4 linked regions of the Alligator mississippiensis genome follow. Each later gene encodes a partner of the first gene's protein in a complex. Links are inferred from orthologs where the notes say so. Each region holds a gene or a part of one and is shown on either strand. Other genes may lie near its edges. The genes, in order: IRF2BP2, ZBTB16, IRF2 and VGLL4.

Region 1 (7,013 bases):
ACTTAGTATACATTGATAAAGGCTCTTTAGAGAAGCGGGGGAGGAAGAAGGGGGGGTAGGGGGCGGAAAGCAGCTTTAAAAAATATAAAAGGGGGGCGCTCCTTTGAGCCGGGAAACAAGAAGCCTTAACCCTTCTGTCTCCAGAAAAAAAAATGATAATAATACAAAAATCAGGAGCCCCAAAAGGCAAAACAATGGGCGCAAGGCGCGCTGGGAATGCTGAAGCAGCGGCGGTAATGGATGACTAAGGTGAAACCTGAGAGGAAAAGCACATGGGAAGAGGCCGCCCCTTGAAACGCTGCTCGGATGTGGGTTTTTATGCCCGTGTTTTCACAGTCTCCCCCCCACCCCGCTTTGCTTCTGGTCGATGCCCCACAGCAAAGGCTCTGAGAAGGGGGACGAGCTTTCCCCAGCACGGGGGCAGGCCCTGAGCTCAGGGCGCCCGGGGAGGCGCTGGTTCCCTCGGGGCCGGGACGCGAGGGCGGGAAACTGCCCGGACATACCAGAGCACAGCGGGCGACGGGGACGTGTGTGGGGCTGGCCCCCGGCTGCAAGCGGCGCTGGCAGGGCTGACCTCGGCCCGGCGTCCGGGGAGGGGCCTCGGGGCTTGGAGGTGCAAGGGCACGAGCGCCCGGCCGCGTCTCTGGAAATCCCCGCGGCGCTTTTGCATGCTTTGTGTGCGTGTTTTTAAACCCCGCTTCCAAGTCGGGGTAAAACTGCAGGGGATAACTGCAGAGCCCGGTCCCTCGTGGGCTTCCACGCCCGCTTCTCTCCCTCTCCTCAGCAACTCTTTCAAACGCAGGAAGGCGGAAAGAAAGACAGTTGCATTTCCACCTGGGAGAAATGTTACAATCGTTGACCTGTCCCGGGACGAGGAATCCCGAAAGCTTGCTAAGAAAGACTCTTTATTTTAGTTATTTATTTTGCAACTATCTAGTGGGTCTAATAAAAGCTGTCACCTCCACTACGAGTCCCGATTGCTTTCACCTCTACCGAGAAGTTGTGATTCCTACAAAGCAGGAAGGCCAGGGATTGTGGGGACAGACAGCGCTCGTCCAGCTCCAAAGGGAAAGCAGTGGGGCCGGCGGATCAAGAGCATGGCGGCGGGGGGAGGAATAATTTCCTCAGCCTCCCCCTGCGGCCGGAGGAGAGCATGCCCTAGCAGCCAGGGTGCAGGGCGCCAGTTGCTCGCTGTGATGACAAAGCACTTCGTTTGAAGCCGCATCGAAACACCCGGCTGCCCACTGGGCTGTGACCTGGGCTGCCCAGTGCTGCAGCCTCAGCTTCGATGGTCAGCAGTGCAGGATCGCCATTGACCAAGCAAAGCAAGCCCCAGGCTGCCAAGGCCGGGGGGCAAAAAGGAGGGAGCTACGGGTGGTACTGGGAGCTGCAGAATCAGATCAGTCGCGTGGCAAGCAAATAATAATAATAATAATAGCAAAAAGGCCAGGAGCATGGCAAAGCATCAGGCGGGTGGGAGGGAGAGGAGCGGCAGGGCTGAGCCGCAGAGCCCCGAGCTGGCTCAGGGCGAGGGGGGGCTATTACAACACGCAATGCGGGGATCCTGTGCACGCTGCTCTCTCTACGTTAAGTAAAAGTTGAGCTCGGGAGGGAGCTTCGAGCCCAGAAATAGCGCGGGAGGCGGTGCTTAGCGCCGTGACGGGGCCGCGGCGGCGCTGGCTCAGTGTCCCTGGAATGTGCATTTCGCTTCGGCAGCGTCAAGTGCCAATTGCATGGAGTCACGTCCCCGGCCGAGCTTGCGCGCACGGGCTGCAGCAGCCCGGGAACAAAATGCGGACGTCAGAGCTTCCCGCTCCCGCCCTCCCTTCCTTTGTAACCTACATAACTCAGCAGCGGGACTGTGGGAATGGTGACCCGCACGCAGGAGCTGCAGGAAGCAGCCTCCACTTTGTTTACTCTGCACAAGCACACACACACCTCTCGCTGTTTGGGTGTTTCTGGCTCGACCGATTCTTTCATTTTGGACAGCCACACACACCGATTCCTTTAGTTGCGCAAACACCCCCCCATATTTGGCTGTTTCTGGCTTGAAGGATTCCTTTATTTACACAAACACACACCATATATTTGCGTGTTTCTGGCTTGACTGATTTCATTTTGCAGTCACATACACGCACCGATTCCTTTATTTGCACAAACACCCCCCCCCATATAGTTGGGTGTTTCTGGCTAGACTGATTCCTTTATTTCCACAAACGCACACTATATATTTGGGCGTTTCTGGCTTGACCAATTCCTTCATTTTGCAGTCATAGACACTCTCTTATTGCACAACCCTCCCCTATATATTTGGATATTCCTGACTTGACTGATTATTTGCACACACACACTATATATAATTTGGGTGTTTCTGGCCTGACTGATTCATTTGCACAAACACATGCTCACAGACATGCATACACACCCTGATTCCTTTATTTGCACAAACACCACCCCTCTATATAGTCGGGTTTCTGGCTTGACTGATTCCTTTATTTGTACAAACACACACACACTATATATTTGGGTGTTTCTGATGTGGCCAATTCTTTCATTTTGGACAGTCACGCACACACACGTTCCTTTATTTGCACACCCCCCCTATATAGTTGGGTGTTTCTGGCTTGACCGATTCCTTTATTTGCACAAACAAACACTATATATTTGGGTGTTTTGGGCTTGACTCCTTCATTTGCAACGACAAAGGGGCAGACCTTTTCTCTTTCCCTCTGATCGGGATGCCATTGTCAGAGGAGCTGGTTGGAATCCTTTTGAGAAGGGAAATAACAATAATGACAATAAAACCTGCCTGCAGGGTGGGAGGGCGGCTGTGTTTTGCTCTTGCCCCTGATGGGTTTGTGGTTGAAATGATAGGAAATCTAGACTGTCCCACTTCCTGACCCAATGAAAACACCTTTAAAAAAAAGAAATAAGGTGAGGGGGGATCGCTGTATTTATGATGTTGCTGCCCACCAGGCCAGGTAGAACAGCGCAAACAAAGGCCCTGAATGCCGCTGCCTGTGCACAGCCCAGGTGCACTTTTGCACTGCACTTGGAGCCTGGCAGGGCTCTTCCACATAAGCAGGCCCTGCTTTATCAGGTGGAGGGAGGGAGCCGCGGGGGGGGGGGGGGGGCGCAGTGCTCATTCAGCTCCAGGAGGTTTTGGCGGCCAGAAGAGAAGGCTGGGAAGGAGTTGCCCAAGGTCAAGCAGCAGAGACTTCATCAGAATTGGTCTTCCTTTGAGCACAGAGTGGGCATGATGACCTGGCTGGTGAACCAGCCGCTCCCCTCAGCCTACAACCGCAGGCATGTGGGGGAAAAAGAGCCAAAATAAGGCAGCCTCCCGCATAGAAAGTGTTAAAAAAACAACTGCTGCTGCACTGACACCTTGGGCCCTGCCTTGTCCCTTTTACCTACCTGGGATAGTGGGGGGAGGGGGGGACAGGAAAAGAGAAAAAGTCTGAGCCCCCCACAACACACACACCCTCTCCTCCAAGGCCCTGATACACACACACACACACACACACACACCTCTCCAAGGTCCCATACACCCCCCCCCCCCGCTTCCTTCAGGGCCCTTGACACAACCCCAGGCCCCATACACACCTCCATGGCTCCATATACACACACCCCCTTCAAGGCCTCTGACACACACAACCCCAGGTGCCATGCACACACGCACACCCCCCCTCCAAGGCCCCCGACACACACACACACACACACACACACACACACACACACACACAGAGCTTGCTTCCCATTCAATTCCAAAAGGCCAGCTCTGCCCCGCCCGGCGCTGCCCGCCCGAGAGGGAGCGGGTTCTTCTTGCAGCGCTGTTGTCTTGGCAGAAGTTCAATGAGCAGCAGCGGCAGCAGCAAGAGGAGGGGGGCCCCGTGTGCTGGAGGGAGAGGCGTGTGTGCGTGTGTGTGTGTGTGCGCGCGGGGGGGGGGGGGGGAGCGGGCGGCGCGCAGGCGCTCCGAGGCACTGTCGAAGAATCGCGGCAGTGGAGCAGAGCGCGCAGGCGGCAGCTGGAGCTGGTGTCCCCGCCCCAGTGCGAGCGGCGGGGCTGGGCGGGCAGCGCTGTCGCAGGCAGGAGCAGAGCTGCCGCGCCGCGCCAGGGGGGCTATGCGCCTCTCCGCCTCCCTCTGACCGCAGCCAGCCCGGGGTGCAGCAGCGGCAGCAGCAGCAGCCACCCCAGCAGCGGCGGGGTCTCCGCCGTGCCCCTCCAGCGCAGCCGCCACCACCGCCAGCAGCAGCAGCAGCGCCGGGGCCCGCTCGGGGGGGGCTGAGGCCATGTCGTCGGCGGCGGTGGCAGCAGCCGCCGCGGCGGCCGCGGCGTCCCGCCGGCAGTCGTGCTACCTGTGCGACCTGCCGCGCATGCCGTGGGCCATGATCTGGGACTTCACGGAGCCCGTGTGCCGCGGCTGCGTGAACTACGAGGGCGCGGACCGCGTGGAGCTGGTCATCGACACGGCGCGGCAGCTGAAGCGGGCGCACGGCTGCTTCCCCGACGGACGCGTCCCGCCGCCCTCCGCGCACGCCAAGCCCGCGCCGCCGCCGCAGCAGCCGCCGCTCAGCGCCAAGGACCTGCTGGTGCAGCCGCCGCAGCTGAACCACGCGGCGGGGCCGCCCGACGCCGGGCCGCGGCAGCCGCTGGAGCGCTACCCGCTGGGCGGCGCGGAGCGGGCGGCGCAGCGCCTGGGCGCCGACTACGGCGGGCGTGGGCAGGTGAACGGCATCCTGGTGCCCAACGGCTTCCCCAAGGGCCCCGACGACCCGCCCGAGCTGAACCGGCAGAGCCCCAACCCGCGGCGCACGCACGCCGTGCCGCCCACCCTCGTGCCGCTCGTCAACGGCGGGCTGGGCGGCCGCGCCGCGCCGCTGCAGGTGGCCGTGGCGCCGGCCGGCGCGGAGCTGGCCCACAAGCGGGGGCCCGGCTCCGTGTCGTCCGCCGAGCACGACGGCAAGGACAAGGCGCCGCCGCTGCAGCCCCGCGGCTCCGGGGAGCCCCTGGCGGCCGGCGCCGACTTGGGCGCGGAGGGCAAGGGCCGCGGGCCGCCGCCCCCGGGCGCCGAGCAGGAGTGGCTGGGCAAGCCCAAGACGGTGCGCGACACGCTGCTGGCCCTGCACCAGCACGGACACGCCGCCGCGCCCTTCGACGGCAAGTTCAAGAAGGAGCCCGGCCTGGGCGGCCGCCTGCTTCCCTACGACGCCAACGGCGCCGGCGCCAAGGCCGGTGAGTGCGGGGCCCCCGGGGGCGGGTCTTGTGTTTGCACCCCGGTCTGTGTGTGTCTGTGTGGGTACACCCCCCCCATCCGTGTGTGGACACCCCCCATGTGTATAGACATACATCTACATACACATTTGCACACATCTTCACACGCACACACATGTATACTCAGTATATTACATTCCATACACCTTGGGAGATGTGTGTATGTTGCATTCTCTCACACACATCTGTCTATCTATACCCAGGATGTAACATTCCATACACATTGGGAGATGTTCACACACACACGCACACACACACAGATAGACCCAGCATGTAACCCCCTGCCACACACACACTGGTTGTGTATACAGCCCCTGCACATATGTATACACCCCCCCATATATGTATAAGCCCCCACACATACATTTACACACACACACATATGCCCTTCCAACACCTACACACTCCCTACACATTGGGAGGTGCGTGCATATTACACACACACACAGAACCGGCATAGAACCCCTGGTACACATTGGTTGTGTGTACACACCCATTGACACCCCCTGTCTTGGGGAGAGAAAACAGCACCTGATGAAGTGAGCTAGCTAGATTTTTAGGTGTGTCTGTTAAGATGATAAGCAGCCAGCAGCAATTATCTGCTTGCTTGTTTATCTATCTATCTATCTATCTATCTATCTATCTATCTATCTATCTATCTATCTATCTATCTATCTATCCCTAGGTAATAAGCAACCAGCTGCAGTTTTCTGGTTGCTTATTATCTAGATATATAGATAGGTAATACCAAAGTGTGTGTGTGTGTAATTAGCACCAGCTTAGCTAGGTATACCTATTTTGCTTAGTCTGTACATTAAAAATCTGCCCTGCCTTGGAAGAGAAAACACCCCCTTTGCAAATGGAGAGGGAGAGTTGCAAAACTGCAGCTCCTGCACCCGGACTTCCTGGTGCTCAGCGCAGCACGGCTGCAACATGTCATTGTGCTGAAGTAGCATAACACAGCACTATGAGTCAGGTCAGGGTGACAGACACTGATGAGGGCTTTCCTCCTCCAGGCTGGTCTTGCCATGGGTGCTGATGCATGCAGGAAAGGCACCAATCACCTTTAGCCTGTGAGCAGACATTATTTTTTTTCCTGAACTGAATCAACAGCTGCCATGTGTTGCAGATCATGTTCTCTCTCTCTTTTTTTGCTGAGTGCGTGTGTGTGTGTGCAGCTGGGGTTTCCATGCGAGCGTGCACACGTGTTGGTTAGAATTTACACGGGCACACCTTGGTTAAATGAAACATTGAAGGCAAGTGCCGTTGCCCTCCATCATCTCCTGTCCCTATGTATGTGGGCAACAGTGCTGCATGTACATTTAAAGCAGGAGTGCCTTTTCACCCTCCAGGATTCATGTAACTGGCTCCCTTATAGCTGTCTGTATTAAACTGCTTGCTTATTATTGTTCTTTCTTTACACCTTTCTCCTCCCCATTCCTTTGCGTTTCCAGGGGCTCGGGCAGCAAGGAAAAGGAAGCCTTCGCCAGAACCAGAAGGTGAAGCTGGACCCCCTAAGATCAATGGAGAATCACAGCCGTGGTTGCCAGCCTCATCAGAAGGGATGAAAATGCCCATGACAGCAACACCTTTCATGTCCCCTCCACCTCCAACTGCCTCCCCTCATTCCAACCGGACCACGTCGCCGGAGACGGGCCAGAATGGCCAGTCCCCTATGGCTGCACTCATTTTAGTAGCAGACAATGCAGGGGGCAACCACGCCTCCAAAGATGCCAGT
Region 2 (7,506 bases), on another chromosome or scaffold:
CCAGGAACTGGAGCCCAAACTGGCCTTCTTCCTCTGATGTCCTACTGGGCAAGCTCCTTGAACCCATTTCCATGCCCACCCCCCCATGAACTGTGTGGCTACAGCATCCCTGTTACCGAGCGTGCCATGCTTTCCCTGGAGTACAGAAGGCATAAAGGCTTGCATTCGCAGTGTAGCCTAAGGCCGACTGGTCTGTGATTACTGCACCCAAATTCAGCTGGGGTCCCCGTTCTTGCTGCTCCCGGCAGGCGAAGCCCTGACCCCGCAGATGGATGTTCACAATCAGACCTCTTTACTGCCCCAGCAGGCCCCACTTAAGTCAGCACAGCAAGCTCCAGCGTTTCTCCGGGCAGATGAATGCACTTGACTGGGCCCCAACTGGCTCCGGAGAAACCCCCAGACCACACCCACGAGTCAAAACTCAAGCAAAGGTGAAACTCTGACCTCCTTCAAAATGGGCCTGAACCTAAAGGGAACTCCACTAAGTTCAGCACACGCCCTCTGACCTTACTCCAGTGTGGCTGGACTCAGAGCTGGGCTCTGTGGCGTTCAGTCCAGAGCCTGGAGATTAAACATTGCCAGAGAGGTTGCTCCCGGGGAGAGGAGCAGCAGCAGACTGGCCTAGAATCAGAGCACAGATCCAGGAGGCACAGCAAGAAACATCCCAAAGCCAACTAAGCAAGATGCAAAGAGCCACAGAGGTCTCACCCAAAAATAATAGTGCGCGCACACATGCACACACCCCAATCTGCAGTCAGATGCCCAGACTAAGTCCCTAGGACAGCAAGCAGACAGATCGCTGAGTGTCTGACCACACAGGCACGCTTCCCATCTGCTTAAAGAAGCAGGCGCTAGAATTGGGAAGGAGATAGATACCTGGGGCAAATTCGGATTTGGCATGAGACAGCACTAGCCACACTCCCAGGCAGCATCAGCCTGGGAAGCTAGTGGGGAGCTTGGACCAACTCTCAGCAAATGAGCAACATCACAATCCTTTGTCAGGCCATTCCCTGCCTAACACGCGGTGCCACTGCCAAATCGTTGCCTGTTGCAAACATACGGTGCAGTAGAGAGGGCCAGCAAAATGCCCGGGCAGCGCACACAGTCCCATGTTTGACAACCGTAGCAGGGAACAACACGACACACAGGTTTTGCACCAGCCCTCTCTGCACAAGGGTGAATCGCGTCCACGGGGGATCTGTCTTCCATGACACAGGCCGCAACCCTCCAGCACAAAATTCACTCACAAACACAAAACAACCCCCTTCCTCCCCCACAAAAAGCCCTGTGGATTGTGCAACAGAAACTGGGGGGGAAAAAAAAGAGAAAATTGCCAATCGTGACAGGACGTGAGGAGAGACCCGATGGCACATTGAGAAGGACGTAGCGGGAAGACTCACCTGTGTTGCTCGACCGTCTCGTTGTCCGGCAGCTCTGCCCCGCACACGCTGCACTGTTCCCCGACGGCTCGGCTCTCAGTTTTCATGCCGGCTGCCAGCTCGCCGAGCTTGCTGAACAGTTCCCTCTGGATAAAGCCTTGGGGCAGAAGGCCCCCGTAAGCACTGAAGTCCATGGACACGGCGAGAGCCGGCTGCACGTGCAGGGCAGAAGTCATGGAGGGCGGCACGCCGAGCACAGAGTCAGTTTTGTGATTTGGTAGCACAGAATAGACGCTCAGGGGCTTCTCGCTCTGAGAAACCGACTGCTCCCCTCCGAGCGGCGCTCCCTGGCCCGCCTCGGGGGGCTGCTCCGCGTTCTCGTCGCGGACATAGTGAAGTTCACGGGCACTTGTGATAACGCTGCTACGGGTCGGGGTCCCGGGCCCGTCCTTGCTCTTGTCGTCGGGCTTGTCCCCGCCAGAAGTGCTGGACTCCGCCGTCCGGGGGCTTTCGTGGCTGGAGGCTTCCTCAATTTGCATCGCTTCTGTTTTCACTTCGGAGAGGCTGGGGTGGCGGCCGCCGACCAAGTGCAAGTCCTCGGAGGGGTTGTGCTGCAAAGCCCCTTGCAGCAACGACTGTCCGATGGTCATCAAACTATCCACGGCCGCCTTGGTGGGGCTCATGGCGGAGAGCCCAAACGACGTGGAGACGGACGGGCTCTGCTCCACCATCACCCCCGTCAAGCTGTGGCCGGCCAGGCTGGCGTAGCCGCTCTCTTCGCTGGAATGCTTGGAGATGAACAGGTTCTTGATGTACCTGGATTTCCGATCCTCCTCCTCCTCGGCGCCGCCGTCCGCCACGCCGACTTCTGTGTCGTTGTCGTCGGAGGCCTGGATGGTCTCCAGGATCTTCAGACACTGCTCCTCCAGGTACTCGATCTCGAGGATCTCCGCCGCGTACAGCAGGTCGTCCAGGTCCTCCACTTTGGCCTGGAGGGTGGCGGTGTAGGCGTACTCCAGGATCTGCTGGAAAGTCTTTGGCGAAAGGAAGTCCAGGGTGTAATGCTGGCTGTTGCGGTGGAAGAGGATCTCGAACATCTTGCTGGTGCAAGCCAGCACGGTGCGGTGGGCGTGGAACTCCTGGTTGTCCACCATGATGACCACGTCGCACAGGGTCCCCGCCAGCCGCATCTGGTTGGCTTTGTGCAGCAGCCCCGTGGGGTGGCTGGGGTTCTGCAGCTGGATCGTGCCCATCTTAGTCAGATCCATGGTGCTCCGGAGGATCAGTCATGAGGGTGTCTTTCCCCCGGGCTGCCTGGGGAAGCGGGGCAGGGACAGAGAGACACAGACAGAGAGAGAGAGAGAGAGAGAGGAAGGAGCCCGTTAGGATCCGGGCGGGCTCCAAGTTTGGCAGCGCCCAGGTGCGGGGAAGTTGCGGGCTCAGCGCCGGAGCAGCGGCGGGCGCGGGCAGTTCGCAGTGCCCGCTCTCATCCTCCCCGGCGCCGCTGTGCTCGCGGGCCAGCAAATCACTGACGCTGCTGCACCCGCGTCAGGGCCGCTCCCCCCCGACGAAGCCTCGGCCCGGCTCCATCTTGACTGCTGGCGCCGGGCTCGCGCCCCCGAGCGATCCCGCCCGCTCGCCCGCACCGCACCGGCACGGCACGGCACGGCGCGGCCGCAGCCACCTCCCGCCCGCCCGCCCGCCCGCCCGGGCGCGGCTGCCGGCGCCGCCCCGTCCCGCTGCCGCTCCGCCCCGCGCTCCCGCCGCGCGCCTGCGAGCCTGGCCTGACACCTAGCTGCCGGACACCCGCGCTCGCCCGGCTCCCGCCCGACACGCACCGCACCGCGATTTGGGAGTGGGGGGGGGGGGGGGGGATAGTCCGGGTTGCGCTAAAATGCACCGCGCTCGTCTGGACCGCACCGGGATGGGTAGTCCGCACTAGGATGCACCGGGCCGGGATGGGGGGGGGGGGGAATCTAAACTACAACGCGCGGGGCTCGTCCGGATTGGATTGGATCGGGCTGGACTATAATGCACCGCACTAGTCTGTACCGGACCGGGGCGGGGTGGGGGGTCTGCACCGCAGCGGGGTGGGATGGGATGGGATGGGTGGTGTAAACTAAAATGCACCGGACTAGTTTGGACCGCACCGGGCTGGGCTGGGCTGGTGGGCTGCACTCGGCTGCACCGGAGCGGAGCGGGCTGGGCTGGGGGGTCTGCACCGGACCCGATTGGACCGGAGCAGGGGGGTGGGCTGCACTCGGATGCACCGGAGCGGAGCGGGCTGGGCTGGGGGGTCTGCACCGGACCCGGTTGAAGCGGATTGGGGGGGTGGTCTACACTCGGATGCACCGGAGCGGGCTGGGCTGGGGGGTCTGCACCGGACCCGATTGAAGCGGATTGGGGGGGTGGTCTACACTCAGATGCACCGGAGCGGGCTGGGCTGGGGGGTCTGCACCGGACCCGGTTGAAGCGGATTGGGGGGGGTGGTCTGCACTCGGATGCAGCGGAGCGGAGCGGAGCAGGCTGTGCTGTGCTGTGGGGTGTGCACGAACATGTGCCGGCTAGTCGGGAGCGGAGCGGGCGGTGTGGATGGATGCGGTGGGGAGGGAGGACGCGGAGCGGAGCCCCGGGCTGCTGGACAGCGCTTCGCCCGGCCGGCCTCTGCCAACAACAAACATGGAGGAGCCGGCGGCTGCCGCGGGGGATGCGCCCCGCCCCGCCCCGCCCCGGCCCCGCCGGCACCTGCTCCCGGAGCTTCCCGGCCGCCTCCACTTGTTGAGCCTCCGCCGAGCCGCGTGCACGGCCGGGGAAGCGGCCGCTTGGTGCAGGTGACCCGCGTGGGAGCGCCCGCCCGCCCGCCCGCTTTACTGCCCAGCCTCTTACAGAAGGGAGACCGTGCAACATTTCGTCCTTCTCAAGTGGCCCGGGGCAGCCCTGCGCCCAAGTTCAGCCCCTTTTAAGCTGTGCCGTTTCTCGGAGAAGCCAGGCAGCACAGCTCAATCATTTGGCAGATTTTTTCCCCTCCCCTTTGCCTATTCCCGGTCCTGCAGGACCCGATATTGCCACAGCTAAAACAACAAATAAGAATGGTATTAGTACAAAGATACCCTTAGGGGTAAAGCCGTGTGCATGTAATCTAAAGAGAATGTTATAGGGAAGTGTGTTTATAATTATAATGGGATTTAATGTACTTCGGGACCAAATGATAGCAGTCATTTAACAGGAGCAGCCTAATAACAGAGGCCTTTATACTGCAAGACAACAGGGCTTAGTTTATCCGGTAAGTATTATAGTGTAGCATTCACAGTGCTATACTTAAGGATAAGGCATCAACTACACCCCATTTTTCAGGGGTTATAACTCTGCCGTTTTAATTGGCAGCAAGCTGAAATTCAGCATGCTGTCTATCAGCATGAATACACATCTCCTCTTCCTTTTTTTCTTTTTTTTTTTTAAAGATTGCTTAAATCAGAGGCTTCCCCTCCACACCTTAAATCAAAAGTGATTCAGGAAAAAAACAGGCAGACAATTATGTGCTTTCAGGTGTTTGTTTACCCCGCTCTAACTGAAGAGGTTGGATTTCAGAACCGAAATTCTGCAGACGGTTAGGGGTACATTTTTAGTGTAGCTTGCATGAAATTAAGCTGCATGAATCCCATTAGCAATAATGGAAATCCCACAGCTAAATTCCCAGGCAGCACACTGAAAATTAACCCCCAGTCCTTCCTGTGAATTGGTGCATTTCACTTTAAAAATAAAATAAAATAAATATAGAGAGTGTAAAATTACTGACTTGTTCAACTTTTAAACAGAGTTGCTTCCTACAGCTACTTTGACCCTGCACGCCAGAAATCCTACATTTATTCACAGAATAGGCATAGCGCAGGCAAAAGGATATTCAAGTTCTCCCCCAAACACAAACTGTGACTTACACTTCATTACAGTGGCTCTTCAAGACTGCATTAAGTAATCGGTGAATCGTACCATGTGCTGTAATAGAAACGATCTGGTCTCTACCCCAAGCTTGCAATCGGAGGTCCCAATCCTGAAATCATGTGTGTACGCACATGGCGGTACTCAGATACTAATCACACAGGCTGCGCTAGTTATTCAAATGCCTTTTTCCTGATAGTTGCTATTGCAGCAGGAGCAAGGAGAGCACAGCCCTGCAGAACAAAAAGATGACCCTCCTCCCACTACTCACCAAAAGCTCACAACCCAAGTGCCCACTAGATCTGGCTCCTAAAAAGGGAGGCTTAGCCTTGCCCAGCAGGAGCAATCTTACCAAGGGGTGAGACCGGAGCCGGGTTCCTCTGGCCTGCAGTCCTTGGCTTCTCTGCAGGGGCTGACGAGAGAGGCACCATGCAGGCACACAGGCCCCTGACATTAAGACTAGATGAGTCATGCTGCCTTCATTCACCCCCCACCCACACACACCCTTTTTCCATCTTTTCTATCTCACTTGTGAACTTTTTGGTTTAGGGAGAATCTCCTACTCTGTGTGTGTACAAGAGCCTATCACCCCAGGGCCCAGCTCCTGGGTAGAGCATCAAGCACGGCTGCCATACAAATAACCATGCCTGCTTTGTGCATTGCCTTCTTGTGCAGACTCCATTCAGCTGGAGTTTCATTTCCACAGGTGCCGTTTGTGGAGACCCCTTTGGATTGGGGCAGCTCAGCAGCACACTTTGATCCAGCACTCCCTCAGGTCCACTTGTTTCTGCTTTCTTCTACACACCCCTGCTTCTCCATACCTTACCCCACACATATCCACACCGCACCATGAGTCATCACAAGAGTTACTGTATTTCACTGCAAACATTTCCTTCCGTGCATGTGTGATCTAAAGAAACCACTTATTGGTCCAAACCATAGATAGCACTAAAAATATAGACAAAGCAAATATTTACAGTTACATTAGCTTTGTTGTAACAAGCTGCTCAGAAACATCTGTTGCTTGACAATGCAAGGAACAATGGAGTCCCCCCCTCAGAAATAGTCGTACCAGTAGGAAATCTGCCTTTAGACTTCCTTCAAAATTGATATCCTCCACCGCATGCACACAGAATTTCATAGCTGACATCCCTTGGAGATCAATAGCCACAGAGGAAGCAAAAGGCACAGCCATTCCAAGGGGCATAAAATAGGAAGATCCAAAAAAACCTCTAGCCCATGACGTGGAACCCATTGTCTCCTCTTGAGGTCATGCACACAACATGCACAGGAAGTATTAAGATAGCAAATACAGCTCCAAAGAAGAGTCCCCCTCCCACCCAGCTCTAAGGTCTTCCAGAATTAGCTTTAAAAAGTTGATTCGAATAAGAGCAGGAGCCTTGGACGGTCTGATAGCATAAATGAAAAAACCATTTGAGTGTTAGCTGGGTGCCTTGATGCCAATGGGAAGGGAAGAATGAGAATCCACCAGGTTTAGAGGGCATCACCTGGGGAGTGCCTTGGAGAAGTTATATCCAGACATCCCTGTGCAGGCTTAGTCCTCTTTTAACAGCAGAGCTCATGCAATTCGCTCTGCACATTTTTGTTTTTTTATGAATTGCACTAAACTTCAGAGGTCTGGGGTTATGGCCCAGGAGTCTTGCAAGGAGCAAGTTGTAGCAGAACCCAAGCAAATGCTGCTGGAAAAAAATGCCACAGATCTACTGATCAAAGGAGCAGCTCTTTGTGAAACTACTCCTCCAGGTGTGGGGAGTGCCAATCATCTCAGGTGGAGGAAATCCAACCAGTGCCTGCAACTTCAGCAGGTCTTTGAAGAGTAGGATGACAACAGGTGCATCACATCACATTGCATCACATGAAGACCTTCTTATGACCTTCTTCAGTGCCCAGCAGGCAGCACCCCCCCCCCCCCCCCCCCAGTAAGGCAGATGCAACAGCACTGCCAGTCTGTGCCTAAGTGGATAGATGGTTGGCTTTGTGGCTGCCCATCTCTGAAAAATAACACCCAGCAAATGCTATCCTTGGCTTTAGGGTTTATTTCTGAGCTTTGAGACCAGCCCAACAAAGGAGTTAATCGCTTTATATGGCAAGAACTAGCCTTTCCTTCTGGCATATGCCACTGCACTCTGATCTCTCCCCATCAGTTTCCAATTTATTTACTTTTTTGAAC
Region 3 (7,542 bases), on another chromosome or scaffold:
TTCCCGCCAGTGGCTCTGCAATGATGTCGGCCAGTGCCTTCAGCACCCTCGGATGGAGCTCATCCGGGCCTGCCGACTTAAAGGCATCCAGTTCTTCCAAGTGACTCTGCACCATCTCAGGGTCTACACATGGAAGTCTGGTGCCTTGCCTGCCTTGTGGCCCTCCTGCAGGTAAGTAAATGTTTTGCTTTTTTCCCTCCATTTTGATACCTTTTTCAGTGCTGAGCCCTGTGAGCGGGGCTTCCCGGTCCTGCTTCTCCTCATCCCCAGGACACACGGGTCCCATGCCAGGGCCAGGAGTGGCAGGAGCATGGAGCCTGGACTTGGAGGAGCACTGGCAGGGGCTCTGCCTGCCATGGGGGGGGTGGGCAAACCCTCCCCCTCCACACATGCCACAACTCTCCCCAGCCACTCTCCCCCCCACATACTCACAGTCTCCCATAAACCCCATACTCACCCACACCCATGTTCTCCCACCCCACATACACATACACACCTATCCACCCCCACAAGCTCCACACCCACACCTTCCCCCACACTCCACATACCCACACATCCACAGTCCCCCACAAACCTATACCCATGCATCCATACCCCCACATGTCCCCCATGTGTAAGATTTCCTTTTTAGCTATTATACAATCACCTCTATGCACACTATACAAACACAAACACAGGTAAATCAAGACAAAAATGTTTTTTGAAATCACATTAATGAATGTCATAGCAGATATTTGATTTTTTAGAATATAATTTGGTATTTTTCTGGTTCCGAGATGGCAACCCCCCCTTGCATGCTTCTGGGGGGCAAGAGGACAGACTTCTGGTGGCAAAGGTCAGGGGTTAGGGGGCAGGACTTCCAGTCCCAAGATGGCAACCAGGGGGTGGGGCACCTGTCAAGGGGTGGGGCTAACCTTGTGGCCCTCAACAGCTTGCCAAAACTCAGTAAGCGGCCCTCCGCCCAAAATAATTGCCCGCTCCTGCTTTACCGTCTGCCATATAAAATGATCACAGCATTAATATTGGCTCCTACTAAATCCTGTGATTTTTTGATGAATGCTGTCATTGTAGCAACACCGAAAGTATATGGTTTAAAGTTTTGCTCTCTCTGTGGTCTCTGAAACTAGTATTTGTTACTGTTAAATATATATTATAACATTAAGTGAAATTTAGACACTGCAGAATCGCAGGTGGTTGTGAGCATTATTGAGAGGATATGTTTGTACTACAATCTAGAGATTTGATGCAACTTGTATAGTGCCAGCTTCAGACCAAATAGCTTGGGCACTAGTAATAGCAGCATGGACATTAGTGCAGGCCGCATGAATCTCCCAAATGCTTGTAGTCTGTACTGCTATAGCTAGATTGCTACCGCTAGTTGATTATAGGCTAGTTTGGAGAAATCCACATGAGCTGTCATTACACCTTTGGACTGTAGCTAAAACATACTGATAAGAGAAATGTTTTGTATTCAGCACTGACTGAAGGCCCAGTCCCAATCACAGTGGAGTCAATCAGACCTTTTAGCAGATGTTACAATGAGTCAGATGAGGCCCCAGAAAATGTAAAGTAGCAAAATTCAGGAAATTTGACAGTTTTGTCAGGGAATGTTTCAGTTGTACCAGGGGACTCTACAGTTTTGTTTGTGTGGCTATGATATTTCTTTCTAGATTAATTGTCCTTCCTTTGCTCATTCTTCTGCTTCTTAAATGTTTTAAGTACTTTTAATATGTACTGCACCATATTGCACTGGTGATTTCTGCCAGCAGGAGCCTTCTAAATGCACTATGTGGTTTCCAGATTTTTTATTATGTTCCTTTCTCTGAAGCACTGGATACTGGCCATGAATGACTAGTGATAGGAAATTGGTCTCGGTATGCTTGTGATAGTAGTAATACTTTATTTACAGCTTTCATTGGAACAATACAATAGAATTAACAGTAAAATAACATATATAATAATAAAATGTCATAAAAGCATACAATTATGTTACACATTCTACTAATTTAAACAAAAGTGACATAGAGCATAATATATGATGATACAAAAAATAGATAAATAAAGCAGTAGTAAAAATGAAAAGCAGGGAATTCTATTTGATTTTGGCCCTTATTTTTTGTTCAAGTAGGGCAAATATGCCAATGGAGTATATGATAGACTGTAAGTTGTTAGAGAGGAGCCAAACTGTCTTTTCTTCATTAGCCCAGTACTTAAAATTTTCCACTATGCCCATGTATGCTTGCTTATGTTCCTACTGGTACTGAGGAAACGGCTCATATGCCTGGCTGTTGGGCCTTGCTCATGCACTTAGGATGGAATTTTCCTCCAGTCTGTTTGGCACCGACCCCTGGAACATTTTTGTTTTCCCCTGTAGGAGTGTATTTTACCTAACAAATTCCCTACTGGAGTAGGAGCCAAAGTACTGCAGTCCTCGTTTCTCCTGCTCTTTTCCTGTGCTGTGTTGTAAGCATTCTTTGATTGTTTTCACTTTCTTTCTGGCTGTGGTATATGGAAGAAGCTGGACTTCTTGTGGACCATTTAGACAAACATTTATTACATGCATGTCTGCAATCCCAAAAAGTCCTTTCTGTGCTCCTAAAATGAAAGGTGAAAGAGAAACAAATATTCTAAAATAGTTTGGTTCATGTTTTCTTCAGGTGGACCAAGATGTGTTTTACTTTAATTAATATCACTGACAACCATTGCCTCTCTGTAGAAAAAACCCCAGATTCTCTTTGAGGTAAAATATAATTAAATAGAACAATATTACAGAAAGCTTGTATGTCAGCAAATTATGAGAAAAAAAATCTAAAATCTTTTAAAGATAGCTTATTCAGTAAGCAAATTGTGAGCATACATTGTCACCAAACATTTCATAAATATATTGGACAAGTTTCATGCAACCATTCATAGTTTTGCTCTTTTGTTATTAAAATTTAGGACAAGGTGGGTTAAGTAAAAAATAGTAGGTGATTTAAAAAAATCAAAGTGACTTGTCACCTGTGAAAAGTCAGGGTTGTGTAAATTTTTGTAGAATAAATATTTTCTTTGGATTTCCACTCACCCTGAGAATGTGAGTTCATATTTTCAAGAAATACATATTATCTTAACTAGTTCATGCTTGAAAATCTAGCTATGGCTTTTCAGACCACATCACAATCTTTTAAAATATCAACATTTGCAATATACCCGTGTGAGGGGTAAATACTATCATCCCCACTTTACAGAGGGGATATAGAGGCACTAAGAAACTAAATCAATTTCTGTGGGAGTGTGGTATCTAAATGTCTTTGTGGGCATTGACCCAAGTGACTTGCTGAGAGTCATACAGGAAATCTGACAGAGAAAAGATCCAAACCCTGTTTTTCTGATCCCCAGGATAACTCCCTAAGCCCTAGTCTTTGGAGACAACATAGTGCAGAGATGCCTTGCAGAGATCTAAAGGACAATTCTAACACAATTGGAACATTGATTTGTGTGGCACTAGGCATCTGGCTGGAAATGTACATTATTTTATCAATAAGTGAAGCTTAAAATTGCAAAGAGGGGTTGAAAATTTAACTAAAAATGTTCAGGCACACCAGTCAAGCTGCACATAAAAAAGCAATCTGTAAGGAAACTGGCAGCATATGCTGAGCATCTGGTGCATCTCCACATATTCATAATATCTGATACCCTGGGATGGAAGGAATTAGGATGCAGTGACAGCAGAGACTTGCATTATGCTTTCCCAGTCTACAGAAATTGGGAATCGGTTCTAACTCCAAACAAGCTCTTGGGCTGGGCTTTCTTTTAGGCCAATGTCTGATACCTTTTGGAGGCTGGGCTGGGTTTGTTTTCCACACCTTTTAAACGAAGAGGTTGAGTGTGCATATATTTTGGAGGGTGAGGCTGTGGAACAGGCTGCCCAGGGAATCTCCTTTCCTGGAGGTTTTCAAGAGGAGGCTGAATAGGGATTTGACAGCGGTGCTTTAGCACTAGCAGAAGGCTGTCATGTTATGCACTGCCTAAATCCGAGAGAGGTGCAGAAGCTTTCCTAAAGAGACTGTCTAAATCAGAGATGCATAAGCTTTCCAAAGCAGTGGCTTGCTTCACCAGACCCTGTGCCAGTTATGTATGTGCGCGGGGGGGCTGGACCTTGATCCCTGAGGTCCCTTCCAACCCTAGGCTTCCCTGGGAGGCTGTTGACACATCCTCGAGACATGGAGATTGGGACACTTAAAAAAAGCAAAACCGCAGAACCAGGCGTTCTTTGTCAGAGGATTAGAGAAGGAAAAAGAAAATAAAAAGGAGGAAAAAAGAGGCCAGGCTGTGGTCCAGCAGCTCCTCTGGTTTCTCTTGCCCTGGAACTGAAACCTCGCAGCCTGCCTGTGTGCGTCTCTGCCTCTCGCACACGGACACGCCGCTGCGGCTGCTGGAGGGAAGTGAAAATGAAATCGACTTTTCCGAGAAATGATGAAAGCGGCTCCGCCTGCCAATGAAAGGCTGCGGCAAACTTCCGCACCCCTTCCTCCGCCCCTCGCCCGCACAAACAGCCGGGAGGGGAGGGAAAGGGGGGGATTTCCAAGCCGCCGCTCCTCGCAGTTTCCTCTCCTTGTTTTGCTTTCGATCTGGCCCTTTCTCAGCCCAAGCGGCGAGGCAGGAACTTTTAGTTTTGCTCCTGCGATTATTCAGCGGGCGGTTTTCATTTCCACTTCGCCTCCCCTGGCAACGGCGGCACCTGGAGGGAACATTTAAATCCCGGCGCGCCGAGGTAATGTATTTTTTAAAAACCCGAACAAACAACAGCAAAGCCCGAGCAGAGCCCGGGCCCGGGGGGGAGGGGGGCACGGGGCCGCTGTCTCCCCTCCGCCCCCACAAACGCCAGGGCGCGGCGCGGGGGCAGCGCGGGCCGGGCCGGGCCGGGGGGGACGCGGCGGTGCCGCAGCGTGGGGGGGAGGCTGTGGCGCTGAGGCCGCCGCCTCCCGCCCTCCGGCCCGCCCGCCTGGCCTCCCCCCGCGGCGGCGGCCTAGCGGCGGCGGCGACAACCGGCCTGACTGCCTGCGCCCGGGCGGGGCCCGCTGTGTGGAGGGGGCTCCGTGACGCGAGCCCCGGCGCGCTCAGCCCCGCGGCCCGGAGACCAGGCCTGCCCGGGGCGCGGCCGGGTGCTCGGCCTTGCCCGCCGGGCCGGGCCGGGGCGGAGCCCCCTGGACACGGGCCCCTGCGGCGGGGCCGCCTCCGGCCTGCCTGCGACGGGGGCCAGGGCCAGGGCCGCGGGCACCAGCGCCGGGGGGCACTGCCTTCGCCTGCGAGCCCGGGGGAGAGGTGTGTGTGACCCCACCTCTCGTGTGTGTGTGTGTGTGTGTGTGTGTGAGACACACCACCTCTGTGTGAGCGTGTGTGAATCCGTGTGTGAGCCTGTGCACTTGTGCATGTGTGAGTTGTGAACCCATGTATGTCTGAGCCTGTGTGCGCGCGAGTGATCCCACCCCCCTTCCGGTCTGGAGCCAGCGAGCCTTGCCGTGCGGCGGCTGAGATGACCTTGTTTACATCCATGATTCTCACCCAGGGAGCCACATTCCCCCCTGGGGGATGCTGCACGGTGCAAGCCCTGTGAGGTGCATGCCCCAGATTCGCCCCATAAACACAAGAGGCGAGGACTTCCTAGGGCAGCATCCCTTATTGCACCAACTAGGATAGTGAGAGAAGCTTTCTAGTGTAAGACATCATGGCTCCAATGTCGCTCCTCATGGCTTCAATGTGGCTCTTATGACACCATCACCAGATAAACCCAGAGATGTTCATATAGGAGCCAGGAGTGTTAAAAGTATCCTGGCCTGTTGTGGTCTTTCTGAGTCTCTGCAACAGAAGAACATCTCTGTTAGTCTTCTGTAGTCAGAAATTGAGTGAAAGCTAAGAGCTGAGGTTGTCAGAGGGCTGCCTTGAGGCTGTCGAAGGGTGCTTTGAGTCTAGAAAGGGCAAGAATGACTGGTTTAGACCCTCAGAGGTATTTAGGTGCTGTTACCCTATGGTGCTTGAAACAGTTGTGGCAGATAGTTGGACCTTCAGTGCTGCCTGACAACATGTTTATAGAAGCAGTTCTAGAAATAAGATTTGTTTTACAGTGAGTGCTTTAGGATTGTGGCATAGATGGAGCAGTGATATACAGTCTCATGCTACTGAAGAAAAATGTCCTCCTGTGCAGCCTTCGACAACAGCCGATTAGCAGTCCAGTCCTGCACACCTCTAATACCTGCCCAGAGCCGTGACATCAGCAGGCACAATTTTACCTTCATGGATCCAGTTGCAGGCCTGGAGCTATAATGCATATTTTTATTTTTTTAAATCATTGCACCACTTGAACCTTGGTTTTTCAACTGGCATTGACATTTGAACTGTTCTTTACATGTGATGTTACAGGATCTGCTTTTTCCTTTCTGGTGCATACAGTGTTAATCCACACTCTGGATGGTAGTGTTAATCCACACTCTGGATGATCTTGTTCAGGGTCTGCTTTGTTAATGCTGTGTAGATGTACACCATCAGGGCAAGTGGCTGGTCCTGAACATTTTCACCCCCCCAAATTGTTTGTGAATGAAGTAGGAATTATAGCTGTGTGTAAATCCAGGCTCAAGTACCAAGGGCCTCTCTGCCCCCCTCACCCCATGAATACCGGGCACTTTGAATCCCTAGTGAAAGCAGTGAGTGTGAAGTTGCTCAGCATGCCAAAATTGGATCCTGAGGCCTGGATCCTCAGTGATATTTAGGAGCTTAAATTCCTTTGAAATTAGCTGGTGTTATGTACCTAGATAGCTTTGAGAATCTGTTCCTGAGTTGGTTTATTTTACCTTAGATGCTTTAATTTCTTTTACACAAGATTTCTGATATGTAAAATACATATATCATTATATTTAATAATATTGCATCTGAAATGAAATCCTACATTTTCACAGGGAGACAGCATTGTCAGTGACATGAATAATTCAATGAAAACACATTTGGTCTGTCTGAAGAAAACCGCAGACCAAGCTGTTCTAGTGCATTTATTCCTCTTTCCATATTTAATATTGAGAACATAGGACTAGAAGGGACCTCCAGAGTCCTGGAGTCAAGTCCCCTGTGATCCATTTGCAGTCACTCAGATAGAAGAGGCTTATTGATTTCAGGGTCAGAGTCTACCGCTTTCCTCCTGTTTAGTGAACACTTATAATTGTTAATGGTTATAAGTCTACTGGGTCAAAATTTTTATACTGCATTTTCTTGAACATAGTAAAAAATTTAAGCTAGATTAAATATTGTATGTTTGAGTTTAGTAAAAAAATATTTAAAATAAATCTCTCTAAGTTCTACATAGAATCCCTTTGGCAGAAAGTGAGCTAGTACTATAAGAAGAGAATTGACCACAGCAGAAACATTTAAATTTACCATAGCAGGAAAATGGTGATATGGTTATAAAAGTCACACATTTTACCTATAAAACAAATTATTTCTCTCTGAATCTGAATTTTTTCTATGCCTTGAAACATGGATAAGATTTCACTGTCCCTCTGCTTGACAATTTTG
Region 4 (7,792 bases), on another chromosome or scaffold:
TACCATATTTCATTACTTACTTGATTGTCCCAGTGTCCAGCAGCTGAATTTTGGGGAAAACTACATGTGGTTTGTAAGTAAGTATGGTACTCTGAGGCCTAGTAAAGTGAAAGTTAATTGTAGCCTGTGAGATCGAAAACCCAAAAGCAGAGTCATTTTGCATCAGAGTGAATTGAACGTAGGTGCTGTAGTACTTGAATGATTTCTCAAGCCCATCCCACTTCAAATTTACAAATATAATTTTATTCATAAAAGTTTCTTCCATCTGGAAAGCTGCTTATTGCTCGGTCTGGGGGTAGGTGAGCACAGCTTTAACTGCTAAAAATTTGATGAGCCTCATGACATTTAATTAACAATCTAGGTTTTTAATGGATCATTATAATTGAGTGTGTGCACATGCACGCTCTCACACTCACGCGCGCATGAGCGCTCGCGCACACACACACAAACACACACACACTCTCTTTATTAAAAGGATTGTAGATCTCAGAGAGTGTGGTTATGAGCAGTTTTAAATTATTAGGTACCTAACTTAAGTACCCAGCTACTTTCTTGTGCAGCAAAGTAGGAGCTTTTACACTTCATCTTCTCAATAAAACAGTTTTTTGTTTTATTTTTGCATTAATCTCTGAAACAGTGCTCGTGTCCCTTTAATTGAAAGGAAATACAGGCAGGCATTTTTCAGCAGAGTTTTTCTTATTTCAATTAAAATACTTAGAGGAAGTAATTTTTTTCATCTTTAAATTTTATTCTAAACTAGTAACCTAGGTTTAGTAGAAATAACAGTAATAGAAGTGCCTTGGCATTTTAAAAATGTTTTTGATGAAATGTCATTTTAGGGAGCACTGCTATAAGAGCAGTGTCTCCCCTTTTGACATTCAGGAGAGGTATTAAGGCTAGGTACAGACATTGTACATAAACCACTTTAAGTGGTCAGAAACTGGATTAAACCTGTAACAGAACAGATGTTCAGTGCACATAAACCAGTTTGAAAATGTCTGAAAAATGGTTTGAGATAAACCTGGTTGAATGTAGTATCAGACTTAACTATTTGGCTCAAAACGGTTTATGCAATGTCTGTCCAAGACCCCTTGCTGGTTTAAGTTACATCAGAGTCCACCAGCATCCTGGCAGGCTCTCTGGGCTGGGCAGGGCTCTCTGCTCCATAGCAGAGCTGGCCCCTCCCCTCTGCTCCCTGGCTGGAGTTCAGCACAGACTTGCAGGCACAGCAGGGTGTGCTGGCTTCCCTGTGCCCCCCTCCTCCCCACTCTCGCCACTCGCTGCTTAAGCAGAGATCCCTTTCTCCTCTCTACCACAGCAGGGACCATAGCCAGCATGTGGTAGGCTAGTTAATGCCAAGGTAGGGTGTGTGTGTGTGTGTGTGTGTGTGCGCGCGCGCGTGCGCAATTTCACTGGGATAGGCAAACAGTGACCACTTAGGACTTTTGAAGCTAATCAACAGGCCAGCCAGTAAACTGTTTAAGAAATGTGAAGTAATGTGGAGAGAGGCTTTTGTTTTGCTAATTGGGTGACAAAGACTGTTATCAGTGCCCCTCTTCCCCCCCCCTCCCCCGCCAGGTCTGCCCACACTCCTCCCTTATTGCTGCAGCGGGGGGGGGGGACCATGGTCCCTGAGGCAGAGAGGGGCAGGGAGCAAAATTCGTTTTCCGTCTACGCCACTGGCAGCCGGGTGGCGCCTTGCCCCAAATTGGCCTCTGGCTTTCCCCTCTGCCGGAGGAATAACCCCATCCCTGTCCCCCCAGGGCCCCTGCCTAGCTGTGCCCCCTTCCTGCCACTGCAATGGGAGGGGTCAGGGCCCTTACTGAGGGCAAAAGTCCCTGTCCCACAGTGGGGGAGAGTGAGCCGCTTCCCGGCAAGGGGCTGCACTGTGGGCTTGGGTTGCGTGCGGCAGCGCCAGGGTGTGGAGTGGGCCAGAACCTTGCAAGCCCCCACAGTGCCGCCACACTCCACAGCCGTGCTGCTGACCCCACAGTGCATCGTCGCTGGGAAGCTGTGATGGGCTTCTGCCTGTCAGGCATGCACTGTTCCAGCTGCTGGGTGGGGGTGGTCCTGGCCCAGCCCCCACCGCTTGTTTTATGCCAGGGAAAACCATTGAGGGGGTTTATTCAGCCCCCATTATTCCCCGCTGAGCTTCAGCTGCAGGCCAGCCAGGCAGATGCTGCTGCCAGCATCTGAATAAGCTTCTTCCTACTGGGAGGGGTCTTGCTGCATGCACAGAGAGAGGCTGCTCAACCACAGCTGGGTCAGCTCAGCGTGGCCACCACCACTCTGTGCTTTCTGTTGAGCCTGGCTGCCGCTGGCCTGGAGGACAGAGCGGTGGCAGCTGGGCCGGGCACACCACGTTGTGGTGGAGTGGCCTCTTTCTGTTCTTGCAGTAAGCCCCCTCCCCGCAGGAAGGGAATTATTCAGCTGCTAGCTGCTTAGTCTGCCCAGCCGGGCTGCAGCTGAAACTCAGGGTGGGGGAGAATAACGGGGGCTGAATAAGCCCCATCAGTGGCTTGCCCTGGCACAGAATGGGCAGCAAGGGCTGGGCTTACCCCCGCCTGGCAGCTGGAGCCTGTCATGGCTTCCCGGCGGGGCTGCGCTGTGGGGCCAGCAGAGCGGCTGTGGAGTGTGGTGGTGCTGCAGGGGCTTGCAGGGCTCTGGCCCCAGACCCCAATACTGCTGTGTGCAGCCCGAAGTCACAGCGCAGCCCCTCGCTGGGAAGGGGATCACTTTCCCACACAATGGGACAAGGGCTGCTGCCCCCAGTAAGGGCCCTGGTTCCCTTCTGCTGCAGCGGCAGGGAGGGGGCATTGCCAGGCAGGGCCCCGGGGGGCGGTGGGTGGGCAGGGATGGGGTTATTCCTCCAGTGGAAGGTACACCTGGGGGCCTATTCCGGACAGGGAGCCACGTGGCTGCCAGTGGGGTAGAGAGGAAACAAACTTTGCTCCCTGCCTCACTCTGCCTCAGGGGCCATGGTGCCTCCCTGCTGTAGCAGCGAATAGGAGTGTGGGCAGACCTGGCTTGGGTCCTTGCCAGTGGCACAGAGTGGGAATTAAACCCTGCTCTGGCCAGTTCAGTCTGGGTTGGCCACTCCCTCCCCAGCACAGCTTCTCTGCAGCCGAGGGCTGGCTCTAGTGCCCCCTGTGCCTGGCCTGAGCAACTGCGGGCATGTTTGTCCAGTTACAAACCGGTTCAGCCTAGACAGATTAGACTAACCTGTAAAGGTTGAATCAGCTCAGGCTCTGGCTTTTTGAATGTCTGTCCCTAGCCTGAAAGGCTCCATATCATCAAAAGATGCATGCACTGTACACACTGCCCCTTGCCTCAGAGTGCTAGCCTGGGTCTGGGGGCTGGCAACACTCTTGCCCCTTGAGCAGCCAATGGAGAAAAGCCTGGGACCATGCAGGCAGACATCCCTAATGATAGAGTCCTGCCAGGGCCTGCCCATGTCCCCTCAGCTCATCTCCCTGCAGAAGGGAAGGGAGACCTGCTTTAGTGTGCTGCCCCCCCCCCCCCCCCCCCCCCCCCCCCCCCCCCCCCAGCATCTAGCCTGAGACACTGCAGGCACGTGCCTGAATTTCCTCAGTCCAGAGAGAATGTCTGTGCAGTTTCAAAACAGTTCAGCCTAGTCAGGTTAAACTAACCTGCAAAGTTTGAATCAATTCAGGCTCAGGTTTTTTGAATGTCTGTCCCTAGCCTAAAAGACAGGAATGGAATGTAGGCATCCAATTTCTATTGACAGATGGGTGCCTAGCTCTTTTTGTACCTTTTGAAAATCTCCCCTGAGGTAACCAAGGCAGAAAAGTGATTTGTACAAGGCCACAGACCAGATATTAGAACCCCAGAACTCCATTATGTCTTTGTTCAGACCACACTTTCCTACTGTTGCTTTAGGTGTTAATCTACCACAGGGGATATATAAAGATACCTATTAGGATGACATACCACATAGAAATATCGATACAGATGTTGTTCTTTCTGCGATGATTGGTATACATCTGTATAAACAATTAGAAATCTTTAAGATCAAGGTTTTGAACTGCTGGAAAACAAACCACATCCTGAGATGAGAACAACTATTGTTTTAAAAAAACAAAAATAACAACAACAAAAGTGTCCTTCACCCTGTCATTTAAAATGGTGTTAGAGCAGGCATTTAAAAAAAAAAACTGTAAAATGTTTAACTACAGATCTTTCTTAAGGATTTAAAAAACAACATTAAACTCCAACATAAACTTCACGTGTGTTTATAGATACATATTCCACTATTCAAACAGGTGATTTTTTAAAAATTATAATTCTCATTTTTTCCATATCCTGGCTACTAAGAATCCAGTTTGTTAATATTTCAAATAGTATTACTTTTCAGTGAATTGGCAACATTATTGTGCTATGTTGAAACCTTATCAAATAGTTGCAAATATTTTAATAGTCAAGTAAAAATAAATGTGAGGGGGTGGGAAAAATTATTTAAAGTAAAAAGTTTAAACTCAGTGCTGTCACTTGGAAATCCTTTCTGAACAAGTTAATCCTGTTTCCTTGCAGATTAGCTTGCTCAGTTTCCTCAACTTAGTACTCGGAGGTCTCTGTGTTTTTCTGGACTTTTCCTGTCTCCCTCCCTCTCTGTTTGCAGTGGCAGCACTGCTTCCTGTCAAGAGCAGCTCTGACATGGTTCTTTCTTTACAGACTCTCCACCTCCTCCTTCCTTTTCTTTCACTCAATACATTTAGAGACTGATCTTGTGCAGAAAATATCCTTGACATTTGAAGAGCTCAAGGGATTCAGTGAGCATGCTCAGTTCTCTGTGCCGGATAGAAAGAGGAAGCTAGTTTACATACGAGTCATACCAAGCATAGCCTGCATGTCAGTGCAGTTAACTTGCAGCGGGCTGTGAGCAGAACTAGCGTGGCTTTGTTTTAGGAAATTTCCTTCCTTTCTTTTTCTTTTCTTTTAATTAGACAAAGATTTACAAAAAGGTTTTTAAGAGTCTCCTTTGTAGAAGGACATACAGTACACTTTAAATTTAGCCTAAAAAACCTGGAAGGGTCCTCTTTTTATCCTTCTAAACTGCCTTTTAATATACCTTTTTGATTAATTAAAGGCTGGGCCTTGAGCTTGTGAAGTTTAGAAAGAGCCAAGAGCTACTTAACAGCATCTGTCTGGCTGCTTCTCCCTTTTTCTGGGCGAAAGCAAGCAAGCTGGTCTTTTTTGCTAGCCTGATAAATGCTATTTATGAAGATGGACCTGTTGAACTACCAGTACTTGGACAAGATGAACAACAATATTGGCATTCTGTGCTATGAAGGTAATTGTTTCATTTCACAAACTGCCTTTTGTGGACTGTATTTTACTTTAAGTTGGATTTTTCTCCCCTTTGGTTTATGTTTGTTAACACATGCTTTAGTACTGGCTAAGTGTCAAGTAAAATTTGAATTCTTATTTTCAAAGGAATATTTTCTATTCTTTTGAGCATGACATATAGTTTGGGTTTTTAAAAGCAAAGATGGCACTGATTGAAATACTTTAAATCAAGAACCTTGCTTGTGCACCCAGATACCATTCTGATAGTGTTAATATAGTTGTAAAGGAAATAATTATCATTTTTATAACATGGGTAAAAGCATTAATGTATTATACCTTTATGTGTATAATATAGTCTAGCAAGCGTATACTAAATAAATGCAATAAGCTTTTATTTGTGCTTTATCTTTATTCTACATGCTACATCTACATCTATGCTTTATCTACATTCATAACATATTTTGATACAGGATACTTACAAGTTTTTGTCGTAATTCAGTAATTGGTTTTAAACAGTGAAGAATTTTGCTCCTTTGGTTTTGAGGGTTGTAGGTATCCATATTACTGGGCACGGAGTGGCCTTTTGTTTGACTTCTCATTTTCTATATAGCTCTGAGAGTCCTGACAGTGAAAGATGTTTCTCCCCCATACTCCCACAGACACATACACGCACCTCCTCCCCCAAGAACTATCCCACACTGCAGCCCTTGTGGACGCAATTACACAACAGTCTGGAAAACTTCACTTTTTTGTCTTTGTGTTCTGAGTTTGCTTATTTTGTCCAGCTAACATAGTTTAGTGTCAACTGCTGATACTGTGGGTAATAGTAGCCTTGTTTCAAAGTTACTTTAGGTAATGGGGGAGGGGGTGCAGCTGCGTAGTTTTAGTTGAGCTTTATCTACGTGCAGTTTACAGAACTGGTAATGGCTTGGCTTTGAATGGAAAGAAAGGCACTACTGAGCTAATTCAGCTTGGCAGTAGGACTGTTTTTGCTGTAGCCACATTCAAACATAGCAGAAATCTTTATTCTGATTCAGCAAGAATTTTTTCCAAGTTCATCTGGAAAGTAAACTTGCTGTAAATGACTGTAAAGCAATAAAAATATATATAGATGTGATCAGGAGATATCTGCTCATACCACCTAAGAAAAAACTAGGCCTTAAATCTGGGAGCAGAACCTCACTCTCATAAAATGTCTGCCCTTCATCCTGCTTCAGTCAGAATGGCCATATTTCCTAGCTTGAGAGAATAAAAATGCTCATATGTAGAACTATGAAAGCCTCTACTTTACTTTTCATTTACATAACAATCTTGTAAAAGAATGTACTTGGATAAATCTGCTGTACAAAGAGTGGGTTTAACCAGTTAGTATTGAAAAATACAATGTAGATTGTGTGTGGCCATCTATACTTTCATACTCTTTCCCATTTTGTAGCTTCTTTTTTGAAACTTCTTTGTTGCAAGAAGAAACCAGATAAAAGAATTTTGAGTTTTTTTGGTAAGTTGGTCATCGCCCTGAATTAAAAATGGTGCTTTATTATGACATGACTGCTAGTTTGTAATGAAAATGAATTCTAAATAGAATTTCTGCTTATCGAGGGTACTTCTGGTTTTTTGCGTTTCTCTGACTAAGGGAAAGGGTTTGTTTGTTTTTTCCTTAGGCTTTCATTAATTTCATTCCATTACGTTTATTAGTCAGTACTTTGAAGCTGCTTACCAAACTCTGCTTTCTTATCATTCCTTTTTAAACCTGTTTTTTTGGACAGATCTTACTTTTGGTAGTTGGAAAGCAAAAGACCATCTTAAGGAACACACTCTAATATGTTTTGTTTAGTTTAGATGTCTCTTGCTGTTTTCCTTATTATGGAAGTTAACATTATTTTTTAACACTAAAATAAACATATGGGAAATGAAAAAAGAAAAGCAAAACCTGATTGCTGTTTTATAGTGAGGTGTTTATATCCTAGGGGTTTAAAAAGTATAAACACTGGCCCATATCTCCACTAAACCCTGAAAGGTTATTTTAGAGATGCTTACAGATCTTCCTTGCCACTGCCATGGAATTTTACAGTGGGATTGTCAGCAATGATGGATTCTTTTTAAAGCCACAGCTTGCAGTTGTGGGTGTGGGAGTGTGTGTGTTGAGAACAAAGTGGGGTTTTTTTCAGATTAATTTCTTAGGCTTTGAGGCTCGTACTTGAACTACTTATACATGTGCAAGCACACGCATACATACACACGCATGTGCGCACACACACACTTCCTGGAAAAGTTCTTTTGCAGATGTCAGATAAATATGCATTACATGATGATTATATAATCATGATGAGCTATATATATATAGCTCATCATGATTATAATATATCATGATGATATATATGATATAATCACGTGTCAGGATTTCTAGAAGAGAGGAACAGAATTAGATGCCCATATCCCACTGGAAATTAGTGGAATGTTTGTTTGTTTATTTCATGGGTGTCTT

What was found.
Region 2: the proteins of IRF2BP2 (region 1) and ZBTB16 are in contact, whole or in part, in a crystal structure (PDB 8YTH), measured with the Homo sapiens proteins. The link is inferred for Alligator mississippiensis from reciprocal best matches to the Homo sapiens genes IRF2BP2 and ZBTB16. Residues at the interface, in NP_892017.2 of Homo sapiens: Thr516, His517, Phe518, Val519, Gln520, Pro522, Phe531, Leu557, Trp564, Ala565, Phe566, Met567, Glu570, Thr573, Ile574; in NP_001018011.1 of Homo sapiens: Arg285, Ser287, Val288, Ile289, Thr290, Ser291.
Region 3: the proteins of IRF2BP2 (region 1) and IRF2 are in contact, whole or in part, in a crystal structure (PDB 8YTG), measured with the Homo sapiens proteins. The link is inferred for Alligator mississippiensis from reciprocal best matches to the Homo sapiens genes IRF2BP2 and IRF2. Residues at the interface, in NP_892017.2 of Homo sapiens: His517, Phe518, Val519, Gln520, Pro522, Phe531, Leu557, Trp564, Ala565, Phe566, Met567, Glu570, Thr573, Ile574; in NP_002190.2 of Homo sapiens: Arg331, Ala332, Ser333, Val334, Ile335, Lys336.
Region 4: the proteins of IRF2BP2 (region 1) and VGLL4 are in contact, whole or in part, in a crystal structure (PDB 8YTF), measured with the Homo sapiens proteins. The link is inferred for Alligator mississippiensis from reciprocal best matches to the Homo sapiens genes IRF2BP2 and VGLL4. Residues at the interface, in NP_892017.2 of Homo sapiens: Thr516, His517, Phe518, Val519, Gln520, Pro522, Phe531, Leu557, Trp564, Ala565, Phe566, Met567, Glu570, Thr573, Ile574; in NP_055482.2 of Homo sapiens: Arg161, Ser163, Val164, Ile165, Thr166.

What each region holds. Positions count from the first base shown.
Region 1 is NC_081824.1:152,548,015-152,555,027, reverse strand, and holds the start of IRF2BP2 (interferon regulatory factor 2-binding protein 2), read left to right. Parts: upstream 1-4,001; 5' UTR 4,002-4,293; coding exon 4,294-5,236; intron 5,237-6,729; coding exon 6,730-7,013. UniProt on the Homo sapiens protein: Acts as a transcriptional corepressor in a IRF2-dependent manner; this repression is not mediated by histone deacetylase activities. Represses the NFAT1-dependent transactivation of NFAT-responsive promoters.
Region 2 is NC_081839.1:33,140,949-33,148,454, forward strand, and holds the start of ZBTB16 (zinc finger and BTB domain-containing protein 16), read right to left. Parts: upstream 3,019-7,506; 5' UTR 2,648-3,018; coding exon 1,401-2,647; intron 1-1,400. UniProt on the Homo sapiens protein: Acts as a transcriptional repressor. Transcriptional repression may be mediated through recruitment of histone deacetylases to target promoters. May play a role in myeloid maturation and in the development and/or maintenance of other differentiated tissues.
Region 3 is NC_081825.1:71,101,800-71,109,341, forward strand, and holds the start of IRF2 (interferon regulatory factor 2), read left to right. Parts: upstream 1-4,525; 5' UTR 4,526-4,753; intron 4,754-7,542. UniProt on the Homo sapiens protein: Specifically binds to the upstream regulatory region of type I IFN and IFN-inducible MHC class I genes (the interferon consensus sequence (ICS)) and represses those genes. Also acts as an activator for several genes including H4 and IL7.
Region 4 is NC_081835.1:32,363,379-32,371,170, forward strand, and holds the start of VGLL4 (transcription cofactor vestigial-like protein 4), read left to right. Parts: upstream 1-4,782; 5' UTR 4,783-5,229; coding exon 5,230-5,311; intron 5,312-5,786; exon of another isoform or gene 5,787-5,948; intron 5,949-7,792. UniProt on the Homo sapiens protein: May act as a specific coactivator for the mammalian TEFs.